3 linked regions of the Sus scrofa genome follow. The protein of the gene in region 3 purifies or fractionates together with the protein of the main gene of each other region. This does not show direct contact. Links are inferred from orthologs where the notes say so. Each region holds a gene or a part of one and is shown on either strand. Other genes may lie near its edges.

Region 1 (5,974 bases), on a different chromosome or scaffold from region 3:
CAAATCTTAGTTCAAATGCCATTTTCTCAGAAAAGCATGTGTCCAAAACCCCCAGATAAATCTGGTCCCCCATTATATATTTTCACTTATTTATTTTTTAATTTTAATTTTTTTTATTTTTTGTCTTTATAGGGCCGTACCTGCGGCATATGAAGGTTCCCAGGCTAGAGGTCTAATCGGAGCTGTAGCAACTCGGGATCCAGGCTGTGTCTGTGACCTACACCACAGCTCATGGCAATGCCAGATCCTTAATCCACCGAGCAAGGCCAGGGATTGAATCTGCAACCTCATGGTTCCTAGCTGGATTTGTTTCCACTGCACCACAACGCACCCATTATATATTTTCATAACGCCCCATACTTTTCCTTCATAATACCTATCACAGTTTGTCAGTCATTCATCTGTGAGGCTATTTGATTAATGGAAGCCTCCTCTACAAGACTTATATCCCGTGAGGGCAGGGACCATAATGGGTTTTTTTGCATGACTTTATACCACAGTAACTGGCATAGAGTAAATCCTCGGTAACTGCTTACTGATTCATTCATTCATTCAACAATCACTGAGGAAGAATATACCATTAGTTACAGTTCTAGGGGTCAAAATTCCTTACCTATCAAGCTCAGTTTAGGAACCAGGTACATGTCCTTTTCATTGATGACAAGATTAGGGGCAGGTGGCAATGGCCCAGGGTCTGAATTCTCAGTGGCAGGCACCAAGGGGCAACGCTGCACGAAGTGTGTGTCTGCTAGTCGCACAAATGTGTTCGATACCTCAGCATAGTCCATGGTCTTGCCATCTGTACAACAGGAGGAAAGAGGCAGGTGAGATGGCCTCAGACAGCTAAGGGGCCACTCCTGCAGCCAGCCAATCTATGCTTTTGCTAACAGCTGTGGGTACAGTACTGACCCTCCATAGTCTCTGTGAGCCGATCTGCTACTTTCTTCACAACAGCTGACATTGTCATTTTGCCGTTCAACAGCAGCTCCTCAACAATCAGCTCTCCAGTGTCACTGTACAGCGTTTTGGCAGTATAGATGTACCGGGGATACCTAAGCATTCGCAACACCCGGCTGCACTGGGCTTCATACTCCACCACACCACGTTTGTGCACTTGATATATCACCAGGTTATGCTGGATGAGGACACAAAGGGCTTTTTTAACCTAGAGAGGACACAAAAGAAAGAGAAAAAAAAATTGGAAAATGCAGTTCATTATTGTTGGCAATTTCTGTCCAACAATTTACTAAACTTCAGGAGATGGCTGGAACCTCCGTGCATCTTCTCTCTCTCCATTGGAATAGCTGTTAAGAATCGCATTGTTCATCTTATGAAGAAATCAGGAGGATTCCTAGCTCATATTTCCTCTGATCTTTATCTTACAAAGTACAACTTACTTGCTCTCTGTTACTGCCATTCCTTAAAGGTAGTGCTGAAATTAATAGACTCATCATGCATGAATGAAGTATGGCAAATGAAAAGCACAGGTTTGCCTAAGAAGCCACAGTGAGCCAGATCGCTTTGAGAAGCAGAACCTTAGGCACTATGTCTCATCCTCTCTCCCTCCCAATGACACTGTTCTGATCTCAGTGTAGCTCTCTTTTGTATTTTGTGGGGTGGGGAGTAGTAATATTCAAGGGTAGGTAAAGGAAACTAATGAAATAAAAGCAAATTAGTGTGATCCAAACATACCTGATCCAGCGATGTTCTTGTGTCATGGGCAATAACTCTTAGTGGCTGGCTGCCAGTTCTGATTAGGTGGACTCCAATTTTTTCTACAATCTCTCCAAAATGCTCTTGCAGCAATAAAGAACACAGTTTAATTTCTGCTTGAGTCATTGTACTGAGAAGTCTCAGACCTGAGAAAAGAAAAGAAAAGAAAAGAAAAAATAGCACGATGGGAAGTTTTTCTTTTATGTTGGAGTAGAGCTGCTAAGTGTAAATTCATGTACTTTTTGGAGGGCAACTTGACAGTAGATACGTCAAAAGCCTTAAAATCTTGCATATCTTTGACCTAATACTTTTGCTTTGGCTATTTTGTTTCAAGCGAATAATAATGATGTCACTTTAGAATACTGACATTCCAGAAACAATATAATATCTAACAATACGGGATTATTTCAATAAATTATGGTAGACTCATACAATGGCATACTACGTCTATGTTTACAATGAAGTGTAACATGTATTAGTGTACAAAATTGTTCATTAAGTGAAAGAAGCAGGTTACAAAGCAAAATGTAGAAGAAACTTAAATTATTGTGAAAAAAAAACCCCCTTTTTTCTTATAGGTATAAGAAAAAAAAGACTGCAAGACAATATATCAAACTTATCCTTATGGGATGTACGAGTCCAATTTTCTTTAAATATCGTGTGTAGATGATTTTATTTGGAGGAATTAAGGACACTATTCACAGCCTATTGGGAGTGAACAGGAAGTGTCATTCCCAATCCGTAAGAAATGACAACTTTGCAAAATAAATTAGGAGCGTCTCAACAGAGTGTTTCAAACAACAGATGAAGCATGTTGTTGGCAGGGCAGTATTCTGAAATTTCTACTCCTTGACAAAGTAGACACAAAAAGAAACAAACATAGTTGACTATAAAATCACTTGTTGTCATAAGTGCTACCACACACTGGTCTGTTCATTTATTTCTCCCAATCCCTCAGAAGCCAAGACTGTGTCTTTCAGTCTCAGTATTCCCACTCACAGGTCTTTGGGGAAGTATCCCCAGACCATCTGCCATCCTTGATAAGGATTTCCAAGGAACCTGGCTCCTGATTCTACACTTCCTTCCCCCAGGTTCCGGTTCCGGACTGGGTCCCTGGGTCTAGAGAAACGGCCTCATTCAGACCGCATTTTCCACTAACCTCTGGGTCAATGCAATCTAAAGCCGCCGCCGACCTCGTGCGGCTCCAGCCAGCGGCTCGAGCAGAAGGCACCCCAAGGCCCTTTTGCGCAGGAGCCCGGCCAACGAGGAGGGTCAGCAAAGAGGAAAAACGTGTGCCGCTCTACCCCAGCGTTTCGGTGGTTTCCGGGGACGCTCTTGCTTCCTTCTCGCTGGGAGGTTGGAGGACCGGCGAGGGGTGTTAGAGGAGCCGGCGGGAGGGCAGCGCCGGACGGACTCTCCTTCCTGTAGCTCTTTGGTGCCGGGAGGCGGGCCGTGGGGTCGCCGTCCTCGCCGACGCCTTGTGGGCCGGGCGGGCTCACGTGACCCGCGCGGACTCTGGAGCGGCCAGCTGCGCTGAAGAAGCGGCGGCGGCGGAGGCAGAGGCGTCTCTTGTAGCCGGGAGGTAGCGGCCTGGGGAGCGACGGGCCGGCTGCCCTCTCGGACGGCGGCGCCGGGAGAGAAAAATGGCGGAGGCCTCGGCGGCCGGGGCCGGCGCAGGCGCCGCTGTTGCCGCGCACCGGTTTTTCTGCCACTTTTGCAAGGGCGAGGTCAGCCCCAAACTACCGGTAAGAGTGTGTGTCCTCTGCACGCCAGCGTCCGCGTGGGTTCCTCGTCCGGATGTCCCAGAACGGCGCTTAGGCTTCCCGCACAGCCCCGACTCCCCTGACATGGGTATCCCAGGTACCTGCTGCCCACTGTCTCCTAAACCCCGGGCGTCCGGGCTGTGTGGCTCAGTAACTCCCGCCCAGCCTTTTTTCCATTCGGATGCTCCACCTGTCCCTCACTCTTTCCCCTTTTTACCTGCCCTCTATTATTTTTTTTTTCCTGGTTTTCCTTAGCAAGTTTTCTGCTGACCCCCTCCTCTCCGTTTTCTTACATTCTTCTTCACCTTGTCTCTTTCCACAATGACCTCCCCCCCCCTTCCGCTGTTGCTTCTCATCTTTATTTCCTTTTCCACTTTTCATCAGATCTCCCCTTCCACTATCCTCATTGAAGCAATATAGCGGATTGCTGAGGATTGTCTTTATTCATTGTCTCTAGGGAAGGAGGGAAGAAAGCGGGGCGGGGGGGGGAGGGAGGGTTGGAAGGTAACTGGGCAGAGAGGGGGATTTTACTCTTCAGGGGTTTCCAGCGTTCTTGTGAAAGTGAAAACAGCGGTGTACTAATGACTTGCGGACTGCGATCCCAATCACTGTCGAAGGAAATGGCTTTAGGAAGAAGGCAGAACATATTCTTTCAACTCTCTTATTTTGGTTGTCATGCTGCCAGTATCTTTAGCACCACCTGCCTTACCCGCCCCTCCTTCCCCTCCCCCATTCTCTCTCTTCACTTAGTGAGAAGATCTAGGACAGAATGTTGGGGACTGCATCCTCTGACGTAAAATTGGTTTTCGTCAGTTTCTGCCAGACTGTGTTAGCCCCTAGAGAGGTAGTGCTGTTGGCTGTGGAAAAAAAGTGCTTCTGCAGCATGCTTGCCAGCTATTGCACCCCAAGCCCAGAGGCTGTTTTAGGTTGAGTTACTACTGCAGGGAGATCCACCAGGGTGAATGTTAATCCTACCTTTGGCCAACCATCTTTAGAACTAGTTATGGTTGTTCTTTTCCTTAGAAGTATCTTTGTTCAGCCTTAAGAGGGTGTCTGTGTAACTACTTATCTCAGTGTTTATAGTGTCTCAGATACAATCTGTGAGAAAGCCTATTAAAGTGTGTCTCTGTGTCTTAGTTCTTAGAAACACCAGTGGAGTCCAGTGAAAAGTGCCTAAACAGTATTTTAGCCTTTTCACTTGAGTTGTGCTTTTTCAGGCTTTTGCTGTATTTTCTTTCTTCTCTATTTGCCCCACCCCTAACTTCATGGTCGTAGTTTCATCTACACGCTCTTTTAGTTTTGCTTGGATGATTTGGCTGTGTGTCTGTGTCTGTGTGCTTTTTGCTATACTTCAGTGCTGAGAAGAGCAGGTGCCGTGGCTTGTTTGTTTGTTTGTTTGTTTTTCCAGTGGACATTGGAGGCTCCAGAACTCTTCCTTACCACAGAGAGGGAGTCTGGAATTCAGCCAGTGCATGTGTGATGAGTGACATGTTGAATGTGATGCCCTAATGAACAGTGAGGCCTTGGCTATTCTGATCTTTAAGTTGCTGTTCACCGTTTGCCTTTGAGAGTGAGAAAACAGTCTAACTTTCCTCCACTTACTGTATCTTTTCTCCCTACCATCTCAAGTCCTCACTTCAAAGTGCTCTTGAAAAGGGCTCATTTGAAAGACTTTTTAGGTGTTTTTCTAAGCCTTAGTTTGATGCCTGGAGGAGAAGTCATTGATCTTTCTAGTCTGATTTATTATCTGTCATGCCTGATTTGTAAATTGAGGCATAACACTTTTAAGTGTAACGGAATACTTCCCTGCAGACATACAAGGTTCTCAACTGAAGGTCCTGGAGGTAATACTGAGGAATATATGGTTTCTGCTCTTAAGCACCTCACAGTATTGTTAAAAGTAATAACCAAGGTGAATGAGGATGGATAATATGTGCTTTAGAATTCAGAGGGAGGTGTTGGTGATATGAGGTTGGGAAGAAGTGACAAACAAAATGTGATTTAAATTTGAGTTTTTTTTTGTTTTTTTTTTTTTTTTTCTGCGTCCAAGGTGTGTGGAAATTCCCTGACCAGGGATCTAACCTGTGCCACAGCAGTGACAATGCCAAATCCTTAACTGCTGGGCCACTAGGGAACTCCTAAATTGAGTTTTGAAGGATAGGTAGAATTCAGATTGAGGACAATAGCATAGACCGAGTTAGAAAAGGAAGAGTGAGTTGAGGAAGAAAGGAGAAACCTTTAGTAAATCATTGTTGCTATGCATATTTATTTATTTATTTATTTATTTATTGCCTTGCCATCTTGAAAATGTCATCTTAAAAATGTTGGTTGTAAGAATGATCAGGTTAGTAAGTGGCTGATTCAGTATATCTCTTTCTCTGCTTCTGAAAAACCAACTCAACACTGGTTAGTCAGTAATGATTTTTGTGTATGTAGGACAACACTGAAGAGGGCTTTTTTTTTTTTTTTTTTTTTTTTTTTTGCCTTTTTTTGTCTTT
Region 2 (6,014 bases), on a different chromosome or scaffold from region 3:
TGTTAAATTAAATGGATTTTTAAAAATTGAGGTGATACATATTGTTCCACTCTTCAATTCTGGAAGAAATACAGACAATGCCCCTTTTGGGAAATGGGCCTTTTCCAAAGAGAAGGAGTTTCAATTCCATTTTTGTTTATTTGTTTGTTTCTTCCACTGTATTAACAGCAGAGATTTCATATACCTACTACCTAGAAGAGTGCTCTCTATACAGCAACAGCTCTATAATCAATGTTAAGCTTTCCTTATTTGTTTACTTATTGTGATTTTATGAGCAAATCTCCCTACAGAAATACAATTCAGTCTGCTCACTTATTAAGGTTTTTGGTTTTTAACTTCTAGAATAAGTTTGGGACCCAGCTGTACACTAGAATCATCAGGAGAGTTAAAATAAACCAACCAACCAACAAACAAAAAGCTCTCAAGCATCACGCTGGAACAACGCATTCACCTCAGAATCTCTGAAGATAGGATTTAGGCAATAGGACCTTTTGTTTTTTCTTTTTTTTTTTTTTTTTTTTTTTTTTTTGTCTTTTTAGGGCCACATCCGCAGCATATGGAGGTTCTCAGGCTAGGGGTCAAATCAGAGCTACAGCTGCCCACCTATGCCAGATCCATAGCATCTTGAGATCGGAGCTGTGACTGAGACCTACACCACAGTTCACTGGCAACAGCAGATCCTTTACCCACTGATTGAGACCAGGGATCGAACCTGCATCCTCATGGATACCAGTGGGGTTCATTAATGCTGAGCCACGACAGGAACTCCCTAGCACTTTTTAAGGCATCCCAGGAGATTACGTGTAACCTAAGTTAAGAACCACTGCTCCAGACTAAATTTCCTGTTATATAGAAGAGGAAAGTGAGACTATGAAGTCCGAAGTCCATTGAGTGCCTAAAGACAAAGAATTAATTCCTAACAAAGATAAGACTGCATTAAAGTGTCAGGATACCCTTCCATTGTCCTTAGCATTTATATTATGCTGCCTGCAGCACACTACCAGGTTAGCTGAAGACCTTTTAAATCGCAGAGATGTCTTTAATCTTTACAATGAAGTGGAATAGTAATGACCAAATGGATTGGATTTAAAAATATAAAATCAGAGGCACCACCCTTCCATTCTGGGATGCTTTCTGAAAATTTCTGTTCAGAAGTGTTCTAAAATAGTTTGACAAGTGCAGTTCAAGCATCCAAGAGCTGAAATGCAAAAGCATGGAAACAATCTTGTGGCAGAGGTTGCGCTCATGCCCGAAATTCCTCCTAGCTCTAACCTTGTGAGTTATAATTGTGGCTTAAATGTATTGTCTTCCACTTCTCACAGTCTCTTGCACAAATTTGCTAAGTGAATAAACATATAAGCAGGTATGGATTCTGAGAGAGGCACTGAAAGTCTGGTCACAGTATCCTTCCTGATGAATGACACTTAAATTGCCCTATTCAGAAGCTGGTCCTGTTGACCTTGTCCTCGACTCCCTTGATATCCTCATTTAATGGTAGAAGACTATCAGTTCTGTGTCCCCTTTCACATATCTGCCTTTCTTCACCATCCCTGACCCGGACCAACCTTCCCATAGCCAGACTTCCTCTTTCAAACCACTCTCCAGACATCCCTCTAGAACATAAACCTTGATGTTTCACTCTCCTTCTTAAGCAACAGAGCTTTGGAGTCTGACTTTGTGCATCTGGCACCTTCTCCTTTCCTGACCACTCCCAAATCTGCCATATCAGCTCTTGCTTGTAGTGTTCTTTCTGCTGGGATGCCACATCCACCTGAGCAAGCCCCATCATCATTTAAGATACCATGCAAATGCCACTTCTCTGAGACCATTTCCTCCACCCTAAGTGGAGCTAGGCCTCTCTCTTTTCTGTCTCCCAAATACTACCCTGTTTTATTACCATTTAAAAAGCATGTTGTAATCATCAGTTCTTGTCTGTCTCCCCATAAGTTCTTCAGTTATCCTTCTTCAAGTATTAATTAAGCACTCTTAGGTCAGGCCATCTTCTATGAATTGGGAATATAATAGTGAATAAAACAAAACCCCTGTTTTCATGGTGCTTAGAGTCTACTACAGGAAAGGGAAAAAATATTTCATAGAAAATGTCAGGTAGTGATCAGTGATGTGGAAAAAAAAAGCAGGAAACATGGGTGCTATTACAGAAAGAGTGGTTGAAGAGGTCCTGTATTCTGTAATATTTGAGCACAAAACTGACAGAAGGAAAAGGCCATGCTGAGAATCAGGAAAGGATATACAAGGGAAAGTGTAATACAAGCAGAAGGATCTGTAAGTGTGAAGGCCTCTTTGAAGATTTATTCACCTCTTCCTGCCCCATCACCAACTAGAGCCTGGCAAAAGTCCAATAAAAATTGGATGAATTATTGCTGAGCTCATGGCTTAGTAAGAATATCACTCCAATTCACCTCCCTTTACCTAGAGGAAAAATAAAACTACAGAGAGCTCTCTACTTTCGTGCTGAGAACATCCTAACAACAGTGGTCTTTTAAGGCCAGCTCAAATGCCTCTACTCATCAGTCCCTTCCATGCATATTCTCATAGCACCTGGTTTTTACTTCCTCTGGGGTACATATCTCATTTGCTTTTTACTGCAAACATTTTTGTGAAGATATTGCTTCCCTCAAATTCCTGAGAACCCAGATCATGACTTTAAAAAAAAAAAAAAAACAACACAATTCTGTTTTTCACACATCATTTAGCTGAGGGACTTGTACATAAGGATAGCCCTGAACAGAGTGTCTGGATAAATTCTAACTAGGTTAGGTAAACATTCAGAAAAGTTGCATCCCCCTCAAAGACTTAAGGTTTATAGGGAAGGAGAGAACACCTCTCCCTCTATGAAGGCTTATTAGTAGCTGAGACAATAAGGGTTTTCATAATTATCTTTTATAATGCTGTCTCATGGGTCTCTTTATAATTTTTCCTGGCTGGATAGGGAGGTTAGTCGAGTTCTCAAGGGAATTGTTTAAGTCTGAATGGATATACCAACAGCGAGGAGCTGAGGGATGGGGACAGGGACCTTATGTTAATACTAGGGATGATTTTTTCAGCTGATGGGGCCACACCCAATCATTATCCACTTTTCCTGCCCTCACAAGGTGCAGCTGCCTCCACCCTTCCTTAGTTGAGCCTTTCTACCAACTTTCTTTGCTCTCTTCCAACAGCGGGCAAAGTAACCAAAACAAGGAAGGGGAGGGGAAGGAATATATAATTTAATTTTTCAGAAGAGAAGTAAAACCTTATCAACAACACCTCTCCTCACAGTACAGGGTAAAGTGCTAACGGTAAAAAACAAAAAACAAAAAACGTACTGAATAGTGCGTCCTTAGCAGCAAGTCTGCGGCAATGACTCGTGTTTGAAGCAATCATACCATCGGAATTGAAAATCAACCATCAGTAAAAGCATAAATTCCCTTCGAACTCACTGAAAACAGTCCTAATAAGTGGAGACAAGATAAAATCTGGAACGACGATTTCAAAAGATTGTGAAGGGATTAAGAGATCTCGCTACGTCCCTCAATCCAGAGGCTCTTTAATGAATCTCCACTCCTGCCTTCCCCGGTCTTTTCCACGTGCCCCTTTAACTCCCCCCCCTACTCATTCCATCTCCTCCCAACCCCTCCATTGCCTCCTCTGTTACCTGCTTACTAAGTCTCGAAGCTTGAGAAAACTGTGCGGCCGAAGTGCCGGCCGGCAAGGAAGGGGTGCGGACAGAAGGTTCCGACGCCGAGTGCTGGTTCCACCTCTGGAAAAACGCGCTCCGCCCTCCACGAGGCCTCAGAATCGCGTTCCGATCGCACCAGTTAGCTCCGCCCACTCGCTAGGTAGGCCCCGCCCTCTGGGGAGAGAGCTTTTTATCCCTTGGCGGGAACCGTACCGGTCCAACCTCCTTGGCCTGACTCTTTCTGCGCCGGCTGGAAGTGCGCATCACGGCGCGCGGTGTGTGGGCGGCCCTGGGGCCTTCCAAACCTGGCCCCTGCCCTCTACAGTCAAACACCTGGCGGTAGGAAGAGTGTCGCTTTCTGAATCCCTTGTCTACTGAATTGACGCTACTTTCTGCTGTGGCCTCTGATGCTGCGATTGTTTCTGCACCGGGGTGCAAGGAGATAGGTCTCTGTTCTTTGCGGACCGGGAGGGAGGGTGCGGAAGGCAGCGTCTCCGAGAGTCCTTCCTCCTCCCAGTTCTCCTCCCACTCCTTTTGCATCCCCCGCCCCCTTCTTGCTCTGCGCCTTCTTCCCGACTGCAGGCAGACCAGTCTATCCCGCCGCAGCGCCGGAGTCTGGGCAGCCTGCAGGAGGCACACACGCCCACACCCACTCCGCCTGGCCGCATCCCTACTCAGCATGTCGGCGCTCGAGTGGTACGCCCACAAGTCTCTGGGCGACGGTATCTTCTGGATTCAGGAACGCTTCTATGAGTCAGGCAACCGCGCCAACATCTGGCTAGTGCGAGGCTCGGAGCAAGACGTTGTGATCGACACAGGCCTGGGCCTGCGCAGCCTCCCGGAGTACCTGTACTCTTCTGGCCTTTTGCAGGACCGCGAGGCCAAAGAGGATGCGGCATGCCGGCCACTGCTGGCTGTGGCCACTCACGTGCATTTCGACCACTCCGGCGGCCTCTACCAGTTCGACCGGGTGGCAGTGCACCACGCCGAGGCCGAGGCGCTGGCTCGCGGGGACAACTTTGAAACCGTGACCTGGCTGTCCGACAGTGAGGTGGTCCGGGCTCCGAGCCCCGGCTGGAGGGCCAGGCAGTTTCGAGTGCAGGCGGTGCAGCCCACCCTCATCCTGCAGGATGGTAATGGCCCTTCACGAGCGCGCGCTCTCTCATTAAGGGAAGGGATTGGGGAGAAACTGTCCGAGGAGTGCTTGTTGCAGACGTGCGTGGCTGTAAGGGGCCTTATTTTGTCCCATCGCAGAAACACTACTTCTGTTTCACCCTTCCTGATTCAAAACCCCAGTCGACATCAGGTCGATGGTAGGCCGTCTTAGTCCTCCTTACCGGAGACCAGCTCTGGCACCGGGTAGCAATGCAGAGTACTCAAATGAGAGCCGGCCCCACCCCCTAGTCAGTTTCCTGTGTAACGTACAGCAATAACACCAACAGAGTCTTATATCTAGGATTTCCATTCTTTCCCCAAACATCTGTCCGACATTTTCAGGCACTTTTCTAGCGAAAAGTCTTCCTTAAAAGGAATGACGCCTCATGGAGAGTGCATGTCATGCTCTATGCTTTTGAGAACTGCTGACTTCATCTGCCCGGTTCACACCTGTAGGCTTAGAAAGCCATTAGAGAGCAGTCAGTGGTTTCAAACTGTTCATTCATCCTTATCTTCCAGATAGGTTTCTGTTCTTGATGTTGCCTCACAAGAGAAGAAGCTTGATAGTGAACATAAAAAGTAGAGTATGTCTGAATCTTAGAGTATGGCAGCTCTCTGTTCTGGTTGAAAGCAAGGCCTGAGAAAGATTAATGAATGAGGAGGCTGTTTCCGATGATGGTGAAGTATGTGGACTGATGCATAAATCACCTTGGGCTTCTTGGCTCTGAAAAAACAAGATGGGGTTCAGAAAGAATAAAATAGGATAGGGTTCCTGCCCTTCCAGCTCTACACAGGCACTTAAATAATTGAACCAGTCATAGCAGTGCTGTTTGTATATTTTCTTTTTAGGATGCTTTTGATGATTTCATTTAATCCTGACAACTCATTGGAAGCGAGGTTGCTGACCCCTAATTAAATGGCTTGCCTAGAATTTACAGAACAAGATAGTAACAAGAGCTAGGATTTGAACCCAGGTGCAATAAGATCAAAGCATGCAGCTCTCACGTTAATCCTCCATAAAACTGGTAATTCTGAGTAGGATGTGAAAGTCCCTTTCATTTCTATCGTGAAACCATTTTATTTGCCAATTTAATCTATTAAATCCTTCCTCTAAGAGGTGGAAAAATCTAGTTGCTGCAGTACAGTAAGGTTCATTTTATGACCAACCAGTATGCAATAA
Region 3 (5,806 bases):
AGACCTTCGGAGGTGAGGAGCAGGTCACGTGAATATCTAAGGGAGAGTGTTCCTAGAAGAGGGAACAGCATGCTCAAAGGTCCTGAGCTGCAGTCTCCCTGGCACGATAGGGACAAGAAGAGATAAGGTCACAGAGGGAGCAGGTACCCAGATCAAGGAGAACCTTGTACATCTTTTTGCCATTTATTCTGAGTGAGATAGGAAGCCCCTGGACGCAGGCTCTGAGCAGAGGAGAGACAAAGTGACTTAAGATTTAAAAGGAGGAGTTCCCATCGTGGCCTAGCAGAATCGAATCTGACTAGGAACCATGAGGCTATGGGTTCGATCCCTGGCATCACTCAGTGGGTTATGGATCCGGCGTTGCTGTGAGCTGGGGCATAGGTTAAAGACACGGCTCAGATCTGGCATTGCTCTAGCATAGGCTGGAGGCTACATCTCTGATTAGACCCCTAGCTGGGAACCTCCATATGCCGTGGGTGCAGCCCTAAAAGGACAAAAAAAAAGGATTTAAAAGGATCAGGAGTTCCTATCATGGCTCAGTGGTTAATGAATCTGACTAGCTTCCATGAGGACACAGGTTCGATCCCTGGCCTTGCTCAGGGGGTTAAGGATCCTGTGTTACTGTGACTGCAGTGTAGGCCAGGAGCTATAGCTCTGATTTGACCCCTAGCCTGGGAATGTCCATATGTCACAGAAGCAGCCCAATAAAGCAAAAAAAAAAAAAAAAAAAAAAAATTTAAAGGAATCAGTGTGGATGCTCTGTTGAGAATATACTGTAGAGGGTAAGGGCCGAAGCAGACAGACCCTTTAGAAGACCAACAGCAATCAATCATGTAAGGAGGTAAAAAGGACAGCTCTGGCGGCAGCAACGCAAAGGGCAGACTGAAGCAGGAAAACTGGTAACACAATTTCTGTAGGAATGCGGGTGAGGAGCACGGAGGATCTAAACCAGGCTGAGGCAGGAGGAATGGAGAAAGGGAAACAGGGCTGAACCACACATAGGAAGCAGAATCCACGGGACAGGAATGAGGGAGCAGAAGGGTGGAGAAGGAGGTTTCTGACACAGTGTACTGCTATCCCAGAGGGCGAGGCAGAGGAAATCCTGAAGGAGAGGCTTCGGCTTCCAGCCTAAACTAACACACAAGCATCCCCATCCATCGGTCACACAGGACACAAAGCCCCACTTTAGCCATGAAGCTAGTAACTCATTCACCAGAAACTCGTCTTCCTCGGCATCTCCCACTTTCTCAGCCCACATCCAATCTACCAAAATATCTCTTGCATCCGTTTTCTCATCTCCAGCAGTATCAGCACCCAAGTGCCAGCTACAGGTCTCACCTGGAGGTCCGTGAGAGCTCCTGAATTGGCCTCTCCTACTGTTGCTCCTCCCCAAAGTATTCCTTTTTTTTTTTTTTTTTTTTGCCTTTTTGCCTTTTCTAGGGCCGTTCCTGCGACACATGGAGGTTCCCAGGCTAGGGGTCTAATCAGAGCTGTAGCAGCCGGCCTACGCCAGAGCCACAGCAAGGCAGGATCCGAGCTGCATCTGCAACCTACTATCACAGCTCACAGCAACGCCAGCTCCTTAACCCACTGAGCAAGGCCAGGGATCGAACCTGCAACCACTGAGCCACCACGGGAACTCCCCAAAGTGTTCCTTTAAAGTGTAAACTGGACCATGCCACTCCCCAGCTCAAAACTTGTCCGTGGCTTCCCACCACCTGCAGGCTACAACATCCTGCCTGACCTTGGCCCTTACCTCTCCAGCTTTATTCCAGGTCACTCTCCCCCTTGCTCTTTATGTAGCCCCACCCTGCAGCGCTCCTGGTACACAATAAACATTCAACACATGTTTGCTCAATGAATGAAGGGGATATTTCACCTGTCAGTAAACTAACCACCCCAGAAGCTACAGGCTGTGGTCCAAGTGGACAAAATCCTTCAGGCCCACCCTGCGGGCCACCTCCACCACCCAGGACTAGACCTCTCCTCACTCTAACTGGCCTCACTACAGACAAGAAGCAGATGCATTCAGTCATCACTGGCCGGGCTATCTGGCAACTTGGGCTGCCGAGAGGAGAGCCCAAGGCTAAACACTTACCTCCTCGGCATTTTCCAAGTCATCTAGCCCTTCGTCCTCCTCCACATCGTCAAAGTCATCGCCATCAAAACTGTACAAGAAGAAAGCAGAGCATCACTTACAAGAATCAAAGAGGGCATAGATCTGATAAGCAGGAGGTGCTCAATAAATATGCACTTACTGAGTAAATCATTTTATAATAATAATTTATTAAGTCATTTGATGTCCTCAACTTACTAAAACAAAGCTTCCTTTTCTTTTCTTTTGGTTTTGTCTTTTCTAGGGCCACACCCGCGGCACGTGGAAGTTCCCAGGCTAGGAGTTTAATCAGAGCTGTAGCCACCAGCCTACACCAGAGCCACAGCAATGCCAGAGCCAAGCCGCATCTGTGACCTACACCACAGCTCATGGCAACGCCGGATCCTTAACCCACTGAGCAAGGCCAGGGATCAAACCTGCAACCTCATGGTTCCTAGTCAGATTCGTTAACCACTGAGCCATGACAGGAACGCCAAAGCTTCCTTTTCTATTCCCTCCAGAGCCCTATTTCCATGCCCCCCTGTGGGAGAAAAATTCATGAAAGAGTCGTCCATCTTCGCCATTTCCAATTCTTCTCCTCACATTCTGTCATCATCTCACTCCCAAAGACTTTCAGCTCCTTGGCTCCACCAAAACCACTCCTTTCAAGTTCATCAATGATTTGCACGTTGCTAAATCCACTGGTCTATTCTTGTTCTCATTTAGCCTGATCTGTCAGGTGGCACACCGAATCACTCCCTCTCACTCAAAACACTCTCCACTGGAGTTCCCGCTGCGGCGCAACAGGACTGGCAGCATCTCTGGAGCACTGGGACACAGGTTCGAGCCCTGGCCCGGCACAGTGGGTTAAGGATCCAGCACTGCTGCAGCTGTGCCATAGGTCACAACTGTGGCTCGGACCTGATCCCAGGCCCAGGAACTCCAGATGCCACAAGGGCGACCAAGAAAGAAAGAAAGAAAAGGACACCTCGCGGTCTTGGTGTTCCCCCGCCTCACAGTGGCTCTTTCTCAGCTTCTCTTCCCTCCAGGCACTCCACAGTTAGGATGCTCTGACGCTCATTCATCTCCTCTTCTCTACTGACCACCCACCCCCCTGCCGCCTCCCCATGATCGCCCCCTCTCTTAGCTTTGACTAATACTCTTATGCTAAAGACGCCTCTATTTTTGTCTCTCCTCCACACATTCAGGGAATCTTTCCGGTTCTAGCTTCAAAATAAACCCAGAAATCAAAACCACTTCTCACTACCTCTACTACGATTACCTAGTACAAGTCACTCCTTTTTTTTTCCTGGATTACCGCAAGCCTCCCAGACTTTTACCACCTCAAGTCTCCCCAGACCCTCCGCTGGGTTTCTTTTACATACTTCGTGCAATTCACACGACCCCTGCAGTATCCGTCTGTGGGCCTGTCCCCTTTTCTAGAAAGGGCCCCCTACCTGAAGAGCAGGAGCTATGCCTAATTCACCTCAGTAATTCCAAATCAAGAGACAGAGCCCGACTCCGTGAAAGTTTGTGGAAAGATACCACGTTCACTGATTCTCTCCGGATCCTCAAACTGGGGCTTTTCTTGGCCCAGCCTGTGACCAGGTCTAAGCTCCTGGTCCCCCCGCCTTTCCCTTCTTCAGCTCCGCGGGCCCCTCAATACCCCCAGTCCCCTCACGCATTGCCCCTCGGTTAACGGCTCCTTAACCTCCTTTGACCAGGCTCGGCAAAGCTCACTTTGCTCCCGCACTCACTTGTCCTCGTTGTCAGACATGACGCCCGCGCCGCAGCTCCCTGGTTCTGCGCTAAGAGTCGCGCGGAGACCCGCAAACTGCGCGCCTCCGCCACGAGCTGCGCCACGCGCACTCTGCGCCTGCGCTGTGACCTAGAGGCAATTGCTTCCGGGAGGATCGGCAGGGCGATAGTGCGCACGCGCCGAGAAGCTAGAGCTTGTTACCATGGTAGCCAGAGTGTATAACCAGAGCTTGAGCAGCGGAGATCTCAAAAGCATTCCTGCAGGGCTCCGGCGCGGGTGCTCCTTCAGAGCCTAGCGGCCACTCTCAGTGGGCACCCAGCCGGAGTCTTACCTAAGAGTGAGGTTTCCGTTTGGGTCTATCACACAACGGGCAAGGTTACCCTAACGCCCCTTTCCTCCAGAGGTGGCTTCCCTGCCACAGGCGCCGGGTCTGGATGAGGTCTCTGTTCGCATGTGTGTATCTGCCAGTGGATCTGTTCCGGGTGGGAGGATTGGGCACTGTCGCGATATTGATGGGCGGCGTCACGATTCTCTTGCGGGCCCCGCCCCCGCCAGACCCAAACTTTGGGTGGTGTTGGGGATGCGGAAGCAGAGGTTGTATATGGGAGACAGGGGGTGTGTCGTCGCGTTTTTCCCTCCTCAGAGCCCTCCCATGGCTTCCCAGGAGAGGGTGGAGACTGTGACCAAAGGAACTGGCTTCTGGCGCTGCCCCAAGCCGGCCGCTTACACCCCAAGAACCTGCGAGCTGCTCAGAGGTCAGTGGTGGTCGGGCGGGGCGGGGCGGTGGTGTCAGTGCATGAAAGGACAAAAGGAGAGCGGTAGTCACTGTTAACCTCTGTAACTCAGTTCTCACCTGCATGACTTATGGCTTGCAATTGCTGTTTTCATTTTTCAGATAAGAAGCCTGGGGTTCAGGAAAGTTTGGGGGTCCTGCAACTCGAAAGTGGCCAAAAGTCAAAGAACTCACGAATTTTAGAGTAGTTAACTGCTATGCATCCCTTATATCACACTTTTTTTTTTTTGGTTATTCTTTTTTTTTGTAATTGTTATTTCCCCAATACAATTTTTTTTTTCCTACTGTACAGCATGGTGACCCAGTGACACATACTATATCACACTTTCAATTTCTCCAGAGAAGCCTTATTTCCTCCCCACCCACCACCAACACAGTGCAACCAACCGTTAGGTGCCCACACACTCCCAGTGCCTTTTCCTTCACTGGGCTTAGCGTAACCTGTAGTCAGATACCTTGTGTGTCCCTATGAATTCATGTTGAATTAACATCCATCTGCCCTTCTAGTTCATGAACTCCCATCAGGACACGGTGCCTGTTTTGGCTCGCAATTGTAACTCCAGCCCCTGGCACATGCTTAATGACTGCTTGTTCATTCACTCAACAACAACAAAAAAAGATTTTAAGCCCACTGTGAGCTTTTAGACATTGTTCCAGTTGCTGATGATACAGCAGTAAAAAAAAAAAAAAAAAAAGAAAAAGAAAAAAAAATCTTGTGGAGTTCCCTTCGTGGCTCGTGGAAACAAATCTGACTAGCATCCATAAGGACGCAGATTCCATCCCTGGCCTCACTCAGTGGGTTAAGGAGCCAGCATTGCCATGAGCTGTGGTGTAGGTCGCAGACATGGTCGGATCTGGCATTCCTGTGGCTGTGGTGTAGACCAATGGCTACAACTCCGATTCAACCTCTAGCCTGAGAACTTCCATTTGCAGCAGGTGTGGCCCTAAAAAGGCAAAACAGAAAAAAGAAAAAAGACTTGCATCCATGGAGCTAATATTTCAGTAGGAATGTTACAATGATAAATAAGTAAAATATATAGAACTTAGATGGTGATGGGTGCTATAGAAAACAATGAAGCAGGAAAGGAAGAGCGGGAGTACACAGGTACAGAATGGGGTCCAGAGGCAAAACGAGGACATTTGCTCGCAGCCCAGGAGG

Evidence for each region. The genes of interacting proteins can lie anywhere in the genome.
Region 1: the proteins of POLR2F (region 3) and POLR3C purify together in Homo sapiens (affinity purification with mass spectrometry; 3 studies listed by BioGRID and IntAct, with this or other methods). This does not show direct contact. The link is inferred for Sus scrofa from reciprocal best matches to the Homo sapiens genes POLR2F and POLR3C.
Region 2: the proteins of POLR2F (region 3) and POLR3G purify together in Homo sapiens (affinity purification with mass spectrometry; 3 studies listed by BioGRID and IntAct, with this or other methods). This does not show direct contact. The link is inferred for Sus scrofa from reciprocal best matches to the Homo sapiens genes POLR2F and POLR3G.

The regions. Positions count from the first base shown.
Region 1 is NC_010446.5:99,490,344-99,496,317, forward strand, and holds the start of POLR3C (DNA-directed RNA polymerase III subunit RPC3), read right to left. Parts: upstream 3,795-5,974; 5' UTR 3,459-3,794; coding exon of another isoform or gene 3,357-3,458; 5' UTR 2,873-3,356; exon of another isoform or gene 2,829-2,872; intron 1,865-2,828; exon of another isoform or gene 1,860-1,864; 5' UTR 1,840-1,859; coding exon 1,693-1,839; intron 1,166-1,692; coding exon 910-1,165; intron 800-909; coding exon 614-799; intron 1-613. Other genes in the region: E3 ubiquitin-protein ligase RNF115, read left to right, coding at 3,357-3,458. UniProt on the Homo sapiens protein: DNA-dependent RNA polymerase catalyzes the transcription of DNA into RNA using the four ribonucleoside triphosphates as substrates.
Region 2 is NC_010444.4:97,646,036-97,652,049, reverse strand, and holds the start of POLR3G (DNA-directed RNA polymerase III subunit RPC7), read right to left. Parts: upstream 3,795-6,014; 5' UTR 3,656-3,794; intron 1-3,655. Other genes in the region: MBLAC2 (metallo-beta-lactamase domain-containing protein 2), read left to right, coding at 4,359-4,812. UniProt on the Homo sapiens protein: DNA-dependent RNA polymerase catalyzes the transcription of DNA into RNA using the four ribonucleoside triphosphates as substrates.
Region 3 is NC_010447.5:9,913,738-9,919,543, forward strand, and holds the start of POLR2F (DNA-directed RNA polymerases I, II, and III subunit RPABC2), read right to left. Parts: upstream 3,985-5,806; 5' UTR 3,873-3,984; coding exon 3,853-3,872; intron 2,169-3,852; coding exon 2,099-2,168; intron 1-2,098. Other genes in the region: C5H22orf23 (UPF0193 protein EVG1), read left to right, coding at 4,306-4,609. UniProt on the Homo sapiens protein: DNA-dependent RNA polymerase catalyzes the transcription of DNA into RNA using the four ribonucleoside triphosphates as substrates.